2 linked regions of the Rattus norvegicus genome follow. The main gene of each other region encodes a partner of the protein of the gene in region 2 in a complex. Links are inferred from orthologs where the notes say so. Each region holds a gene or a part of one and is shown on either strand. Other genes may lie near its edges.

What was found. The genes of interacting proteins can lie anywhere in the genome.
Region 1: Kat5 (region 2) and Morf4l2 share a complex: the UniProt entries of both Homo sapiens proteins name them as parts of the nuA4 histone acetyltransferase complex. The link is inferred for Rattus norvegicus from reciprocal best matches to the Homo sapiens genes KAT5 and MORF4L2.

The regions. Positions count from the first base shown.
Region 1 is NC_086039.1:104,883,082-104,887,276, forward strand, and holds the start of Morf4l2 (mortality factor 4-like protein 2), read right to left. Parts: upstream 2,866-4,195; 5' UTR 2,796-2,865; intron 2,121-2,795; exon of another isoform or gene 1,961-2,120; intron 1,031-1,960; exon of another isoform or gene 578-1,030; intron 468-577; exon of another isoform or gene 280-467; intron 1-279. UniProt on the Homo sapiens protein: Component of the NuA4 histone acetyltransferase complex which is involved in transcriptional activation of select genes principally by acetylation of nucleosomal histone H4 and H2A.
Region 2 is NC_086019.1:212,329,549-212,333,821, forward strand, and holds the start of Kat5 (histone acetyltransferase KAT5), read right to left. Parts: upstream 2,846-4,273; 5' UTR 2,841-2,845; coding exon 2,829-2,840; coding exon of another isoform or gene 2,730-2,828; coding exon 2,663-2,729; intron 2,592-2,662; exon of another isoform or gene 2,479-2,591; intron 2,343-2,478; coding exon 2,274-2,342; intron 2,186-2,273; coding exon 2,049-2,185; intron 1,790-2,048; coding exon of another isoform or gene 1,763-1,789; coding exon 1,607-1,762; intron 1,518-1,606; coding exon 1,443-1,517; intron 1,160-1,442; coding exon 1,085-1,159; intron 708-1,084; coding exon 459-707; intron 384-458; coding exon 294-383; intron 1-293. UniProt on the Homo sapiens protein: Catalytic subunit of the NuA4 histone acetyltransferase complex, a multiprotein complex involved in transcriptional activation of select genes principally by acetylation of nucleosomal histones H2A and H4.

The DNA.
Region 1 (4,195 bases), on a different chromosome or scaffold from region 2:
AATTGTTCCTGTCTTTCGGAGACAGGCTTCACGTCGAATGCCTTACACGCACTATTTTACTAGGCACATCTGAATCCGCGACCGAGATAGCTACTATTATCACCATTTTACAAACATGGAAACCGAGACACAGAAAGGAGCCTTGCCCAAGTTGGGCGTTGGCGAGCAGGAATACGCATCCAGTTTTGCTTGAATGTGAAGGCACTAGTTAATCCTATCTACAAGTCAAGAAGGAAAGAGGAAATCATCGACCCTTCCTCCCCACCCCCACCCCGAAACCTGAAACGAGAATCCAGTTCTTTCCAGCAGCCGACGTGTGACCACCGCTGCTCCTCCAACCGCCATAGTAAAGCCAGGTTTCTCTGGCAACTGATATCCATAGGCAGACACGTCACCCTGGAGGCGGGCTTAGCCCTTCAGCCAATCCTAGCCATCTTGTCTAAGTTTTAGAATGTTCCATACCCAAATGATTGGACCACCGCCCCCACGTCAGCAGTGACACTCCGCCGCAGTAAAGGCGGGTGCTAGCAACCTGCTTCTTCATGGTTAGGGCCCAAATCAAACCAATGAGCGTCCTTCTTCAGTGCGGGCTCCGACCAATGACGGTCGCCCTTTTAGGTTCTTAGCCCGCCCTCCAAGTGCGCTACAGCCGTTGGGTCAGAAGTCTATAGGGCAGCGTGTTCACGTGGCCCGTTTTCACGACCCAGAGTTCCCCTGGCCGTGGGTTTTTTTTTTTTCCCCCACCTTCTTTCCCTCGCGCTCTCCTTCTCTCCTGCAGGGAGGCATTATGGGTTTGTGGGTCCGTTCCCCCTCCCCCGCCCCCGCACCACAGGGAAAGGAAGTGCCGACGTGGCCTGCGGAAATAGGATAGGCGGAAATGAGCTAAGGTTCCCGGGAGTGGGAAGAGCGAGGTCAAACCAGCGCCACGCCCCCGAGCCTGTTGCGCAACCCTCAGAACGGGAGAAAAAAAAAAAACCCAACCAAACCAAAAGGAAAAATGAAGGTTTTGAGGTGTATGCGTGTGAGGGTGGTGAGTGCCATCGGGCGGATGCCCGGATGCCTTGAGAACTGGGGTGTATGCGCGCGGGCACGCTCGCGTGGCTGTGGAGTGTGGGTGTGGGCGAACAGCCGCCCTCGTGGCGCCGGGGATGATGGGTGTGCGCAGGCGTGCAAGCTCTCGCGGTGGCGGGAGGGGCCCTGAGAGTGTGTGTAGGTGAGGTCCCTCATTTTGGTGCATTTCTGCCTTTTGATGTTTGCAAACTGCATTAATAAATAAGACCCAAGAAAGTACTAGTACAGAGGTAAAGGCCTTTTGTTAGAAAAGCCTGCTGATTTAATTTAATCCCCCCTTTTTATCTTTCTTTGCTCGCTCTTTCTTTTTTATTTTATTTTATTTTATTTTCTTTATTTATGAGGCCTGTTCTAGCTACGTAGGCTTGGCAGGCCTGGAACACAAGAGACCCACCTGTCTCTTCACGGCCTCCCGTGCGCTGGCATTGAAAGCATCGGCCACCCCACCCAGTCTGATTTAATTTTAGACCCTAAAGATGCTTATTATTCCCACAATTTAGTCCAACAAAATAAACTTCTTCCATGGTGAGCATTCAAAACTATATTAGTAACGTAAAAGGGCGTTTCTTTTAAGTTTCCAAGTGTACACCCCGCCCTCTCTGTCTCCAAGGCCTCACCTTTGCCCCTCACCAAGATTACTGAGAACCTCCCTTTTGCCCCCCACCAAGTTTATTGCTAAATTGGTAGAAATAATTCTAACGAAAACAAAGACAATTAAATTCCCCAGGGGTTGGGGATTTAGCTCAGTGGTAGAGCGCTTGCCTAGGAAGCGCAAGGCCCTGGGTTCGGTCCCCAGCTCCGGAAAAAAAAAAAAAAGAACCAAAAAAAAAAAAAATTCCCCAGTGATACAGACTATGCCAATTTCCCGTGGATGCTAAGCCTCACCTACCTTTTGTCCTAATCTCCAAGCGTAGCGATCCAATATACATTCGGTCAGTTTTCCAGAAAGTTCATTGGATGAGCATTATACCTCTTGAATCTGCCACTAGATGTCACCAAATCCCAGCAAAGGATTTACTGCTGGGTTCCCAGGGATTGTGAGATTTAATTTTTTGCTCCACCCACTTCTTACAGGATCCGTAATCTCTGGATGACTCATATATATATATATATATATATATATATATATATATATATAAAATTCTTAAGAATAAAATCAAGTTCTGTGAAGTAATAATACTAGGCAAGGAATTACATATCTGAATATTTTGGTTAATTTCCTTAAAGAGAAAAAGTCATCTGTTCTTCTTGCATTTCTTTCTCCCTTGCCTTTTGATTTTACTCAGGATTGATACATGGGCCTAAATTCTGATGCTAAAACCCTTTGTGAGCTGTATGAGCACTTGAGCAGAAGGAGGGCCCTAGATTAAAGGCCGCATAGATTATATATTGAGACCCTGTCTCTGCATAAATAAATCCATGAAAGAATATTCTTTTTGCTTTTTGCCCGCTTTTCAGTACTTAACAATTCCTCTAGTCAGTCTGTAAAGGTAACTCGGAGGTAAAGTTAGACCTCAGCATTGCGGATTATCTTCCTCTTCAAACTTATCAGGTATGGGTGTTTACACCCCAATTTTATGTGATGGTTCTGTGCCCTCCTAAGCAAGTAGGTAGAAGCTTAGTATACCAAAAATTCTATTTTATCATGGCGAGAGTCATCACACAACACTCTTGGTTCTTAACTACAGTTTTCCCAAGGGAGCTCACGTTTGTGACGCCCTTACCTGAAGATCAGGCCTAGTCTCCGATGCAGGAGCCCGAGGAGACTCTCTGGCTGCAGGGCAGCTCAAGGTGTGTCTCCAGGTGTGCAGCAAAAGACCGATGCGCTCGATCTTCCTGCTTATATACTCGCTGTGTAGCGGGCGTCATGGGATTCTTGTCCTGTGTCTGGTTATCTTAGTGACTGATGTCATTGGGGGCTGGTTATCAGGTACAGCCTTGGGTGTCCTGGACCTCCTCCTGACTAAGCTGTTTTTGTAAGACAAAGGGCATTTCTTTTTACTATTCTCATTACATTCCGAAAAACTCGGTTGTGTTTTTAGAGTCAGATAGGAAATAGTAAAACATTTCACTTAGGTTTCAGAGCGCATAATAACATAGCCCTGAGGTGTGTGTGGTTTTTTTTAATTTATGTACCTGTGTGGCCTGTGCATTTTGGGGCTAAAGTTCACCTTTCTTTACGTCTTTTCCTCTATTGCTGTTCGCCTTATTTTTTTACAGAAGGGTCTGAGTAAACTCGGAGTTACTCTATGTGCTATTCTGGCTTGTCACTGAACTCCCAGGATCTGCCTGTCTCTACCAACAGCCCCCCTTAAAACACTGGGGTTATAGATCAGTGCCCTGTGTTCAGCTTTTATATATATGCTGGGGAACTGAACTTAGGCCCTCCTGTTTGAGCAGCAGACATTTACCCCTCCCCGGACATCTCCCCAGTCAGACCATCGATTTTTTTTTTAATATTTTCTATATTTCAGATGTATTAAATTCCTTCCCATAGGTATTTCTTTTTCTTAACAGAATTGTACTACATTATAATCAGCCAAAAATAGGTTTCAGGCACTAATTATATGTATTTATCCACCCGAGGGTGAAGGTTTTTTAAAAGATTTTAATTTTACTGTTTTTAATTAGGTATTTCTACACATGTGTATGTGTTCAGAAGTCAGAGGCACTGGATCCTCCGGAGCTGGGATTACTGGCTGTTCTGAGACACCTGACATGGATGCTGGGAACCTAACTCGGGTCTTCTGGTAGAGCAGCAAGTGGTCTTAATGGCTGAGCCACGTCTTCAGCTGCAAAGGGGAAAGGTTTTTTAGAGCGGTTCTCCAAAAATCAGAAGCATCAGTAAAACTCGGTAAGTTATCAGAATATTAGATTCATAGGCCCTGCTTTATGTCTCACAAATCAAAGGTTTTCTGGATGGAGCTTGGCCATCCACTACAAATTGTTCTAGTAAATCCAATGCACTCTAAAATTGGAGAACCACTGCTTTGGAGGGCTACAATTCAACACTCGTTTTTGGACACCACTAGAGGGTGCCATAGAACGTGTAGCAAAATATTTTGCGATATACCCTGCATTGTATCTGTCTTGTTTTGCTGATTAAGAAATTGCACATTAAGTG
Region 2 (4,273 bases):
GCATACACACCTCCAAGCTCCTGACAGCTTCCTCTGAACTCTGCTAACCCAGCCTTTGTTTCCGATACTCCTCACACTGGGATCTGAATAGCTGGTATGTCTACTTCTGCCATGGACAGTGACCTCTCCGGGAAGAGAATGTATCTAAATGCCAGTGTTCTGTGCATTCCCCAGCTCTACGTCAGGCATTCAATAAAAACAGTGAACTAATCTATAGCCAGAGTGGTCAACTGTTCTGAGCAGGAAAAGGTTGTTCATATGATGTATTCCAGCCCCATGCACAAGCCACTGACCTTGTTTTTCCGCCCATCAATCTCAAAAAAGGAGATGGTGCCCTTGCGGTAAATTTCATTGCCTGGAGGGTGTCGAAGATCACATTTGGTCTAAGGACAAAAGGAGGATCAGGTGGGGACTGGTGAGGGTACACTGGGTAGGCAGCCTCCCAAGACCCTTCATACCAAGTGGCGCTGCAGACACTTGAGGCTACGGCCATATTTGAGGCAAAATTCGCACAGGTAGAGGACAGGTAGCGTGGTAAGCTCTTGAGGGTACGGGGAGAAGTACCACGGCTTGAGGCGGTGCCGGCCAAGCTCAATACACTCAATGTTCTTCATCCGGGTGACAATGTCGTCGTGGCTCCGGTCAGACACCAAACTGCCAGTCATGCGTGGTGCTGACGGTATTCCATCTGAGCTGTCCTGAGAATCCTGCCCAGGGCAAATGGAAAATACCAGATAACAGCAGGTAAGCAGAACATGGCTCACAACACTGCCGTAGGTTTCTTCCTTCAAGTCTACCATCAACTAAGGGGCAAGCATCATAATCTCCACTTTCCAAAATAAACCAAGAACCAGAAATTGGTATGGTAAAAAAACAAAACAAAACAAAACAAACAAACAAACAAACAAAATAGCCCAATGCTTCATCTGCTTGGCTCCCAACCAACACCCTCACTGCCCAACCAACACCCTCACTGCCTAACTAACACCTTGTTTGCTTTAAATTGGTCACTGAATGAACTCTCCATGCCCAAGTCCACTCCCTGTTTCCCAGCTTCCCTCTTCCTCTGCTCCTTGATACCCACCTCATCAGTGCCCAGGCAATTAGATTTCCGCTTCCGTCCTGGCTGTGCTGCCACTGCCCTACGGGCTGATCCATTCTGTGGATGACAGAAGAAAAAGGGTGACCATGAGATGATCCTGGAGGAGGATGCTAGACAGAAGAGGGGGGAAGACCAGACGGGCTGTTGGGGTGGCTTAGTGGTTAAGAATCCCGCTCTTCCAGAGGTCATGGGTTCCTTTCCCAGCACCCACATGGGGCTCACACAACTCTAGTTCAGTGCATCCAATGCCCTCTTCTGGCCATTGCACCCGGCATGCAAGTAGAACATATGACTATCACAGACAAAACCTTCATACATGTAAAAAGACTGGAAGACTCACCTGGGGGAAAACTGAAGCTGGGGCTGTCTCGCTGGGCACTGGAGTTGCTGGTGAAACCACCTCCACCTTCCGTTTCTGCAGAGAGAAACCAGGAAAGGTGGGTCAGAAGGTAGAGAAGGTGGGACCTGAGAAGAAAGCAAGGTCCCTGGAATTGCTGAGGGTACCGTTGAGCGGTGGTTGGGTTGCAGGCAGGAGCTGGAGGAGAGCGGCTGGTCAGGCTCGCCACCTGGAATGGCCTCCCGCTCCTTGGGCAGGTTGAAGCGGAGTGTGATCTGGACCGGGATTGGCAAGGTCTTCCCGCTGGCCTGGGCGGAGGCCGGCTGTAGAGATAGGTCCAGGGTCTTCCTCTGGGGTGGGGATGGTGGTGGGATGGCGAAGGGGAGGATGGGCCCCTCAGCATGGAGTGATCAAATCCCACCCTCTGCCTTCTCTAAAGCAAGGCAATACTGGACTCTGGAAGCTACACCTGCAATTTGGTCCCCATCCTTTGCAAGCTGAAGCCATGGCAAAAGAATGCTGCCTCCTGCCCATTCAGGAACCCCTGAGGCCAAGAGATGCAAGAAGGAAGAGGCAGGAGAGAAAAGATGAAATGGGGGACCTACTCACCACCTCTCTTTCGGGAGAGCCGGGGCGGGACCCAGGAAGTCCGTTCTTGGTAGGTGTCTTGGCTTCTTTCTTGGGAAATTGGATCTTCTTTAAGTCCAGCCGCTCGTGAGTCACCCATTCATCCAGACGTTTGTTGACTGCAGCAGTGAAAATGGCTCAGGAGGGATGCCAGAGGCTGCCCTCAACCCTATCCAGCAACCCACTTTTTCCAGGCCCAGAACTCACAATCAATGTAATGGACATAGAAAAGCTTCCGGCCACTGATGTCCTTCACGCTCAGGATCTCAGCCAGGGCTAAGGGAACAACACAGACAGGGGGTCTTAATCAAGGCAGATCATGAGACTCCACCCTTCGACCTGAATTCCACCTCTAGGCTGGATGTCTACGTCCCAGCACTTAGAAGGGCTAGTTCAAGACCCCTTTAGTCACCAAGTGACACCTCTCTCCAAGCCCCGCCCGGATCATCTCCGTACGTCCAAAAGTCACGCCCCTCCTTCCGAGTATCTGCGACCGCCCCAGGATTGCAGAAGCCCCTCCCCCTCCCGTGTGATCGTTGACTCCCTCCCGCCCCTCGCCCTCAGGTTCCTTGGACCCGCCCCCCGACGTCACTCACGCCACTCATCTTCGTTGTCCTGGTTGCGCCGCAGCACGGGCAGGCGGCAGCCCTCGATTATCTCCCCCTGGGGAGACAGCGCGGCGCCAGGGTCGGCTACTGGGGGGCCTCGGGCTCTACCCACCTCCCCTGGCTCCCTCCGCCCCGCCCCGGGCACCGGACTCACCACCTCCGCCATCTTCCCTCCCTCCACTGCCACTTCCGGCCCCTCTGGGAAACGTCACTTCCGGAGCTGAGTGCGCTATAGGCCCGAGCCCCTCGAAACTGCTTGAGAGGAAAACACTTGAGAGTCACTGCCAGCTGGTTGGTAGTAAAAAGCGGGCCCGGTTGAGGAATGGAACAACAGGGCGTTGTAAGCCTGAGGCCAAGTACTAGATGGAATCCCTACTATTCGCACAGCGATTGGAGGAACGCCGAGTCTGTCACGTGACGCCCACCGGGTGCGACGCCGGTCACTCAGATCAAGTGTTTATGCTTTGTCTGGCCGCAGTGTTCCGGCGAGCCTCATAGTGGCAGTGTGAGGTGTCACCCTGAGTAGGAGGCTAAGGAGTTGGGTTTTGGACCCCGGGGAATCAGTAGAACCGAAGGAATTTAAAATTCTAGCCAGGTGTCTGCATATTATTGCACAGGCTTGGGGACTTAGCAAGATTTTTTAGTTCTTTGGTCTTTTTTTTTTTTTTTTTTTTGGTTCTTTTTTTCGGAGCTGGGGACCGAACCCAGGGCCTTGCGCTTCCTAGGCAAGCGCTCTACCACTGAGCTAAATCCCCAACCCCTGATTTTTTAGTTCTTAATATTGGATTTTTATTTTTAAAATAGTATATATGTGGCTCTATAAATGGAAAGGTTCAAAATTCCAGTAGTCATTCAGTCAACGAGAGTGGATGTCTCAGTTGATCTTCATTGTACATCAGAATCCCAAAGAAGATAATGACAGTGAAGGAGTGGAGTTGCCAATGAGAGTGAGAACAGGTAGGCAAAGAGTAAAAGCAGCTTGGCGGTAGTGGCAGAGACAGCCGAATCTCTTGAGTTGAGGCCAGCCTAGTCTACAGAGTCAGTTCCAGGACAGGCAGGGCTACACAGAGAGACCCTGCTCTGGGGGGTGGCAGGGAGAAAAAGCTTCATGTCTTTACATTAGTTTCCACCAGAAGGTGTATCTTCTGACTTTGAGTAACAAGAATAAAGGTGTGTTCTCCCACCTCAAAGATCTGGATTACAAGTGGGTCTTCCACCAAGCAGTCTTCCAGCATGGGGGAGGCAGAGGCAGGCAGATCTCTTGAGTTCGAGGCTAGCCTGGTCTACAGAGCAAATTCCAAGACAGCCCGGGCTACACTGAGAAATCCTGTCTCCAAAACAAAATAACAACAAAAACCAGTGGGTCTTCCTGCTTCAGACTTGGCAAAAATTGTTCACATGTGTGTTTTTCCATTTTTGGGTTTTAGTTAAATCCAGATGTAGTCAAATGGACAACCAAGAATAACTATCACAGATATTTTTTAAAAGATTTATTTATTTTATGTATGTGAGTACACTGTAGCTGTCTTCAGACATACCAGAAGAGGGCATCAGATCCCGTTACAGATGGTTGTGAGCCACCATGTGGTTGCTGGGAAT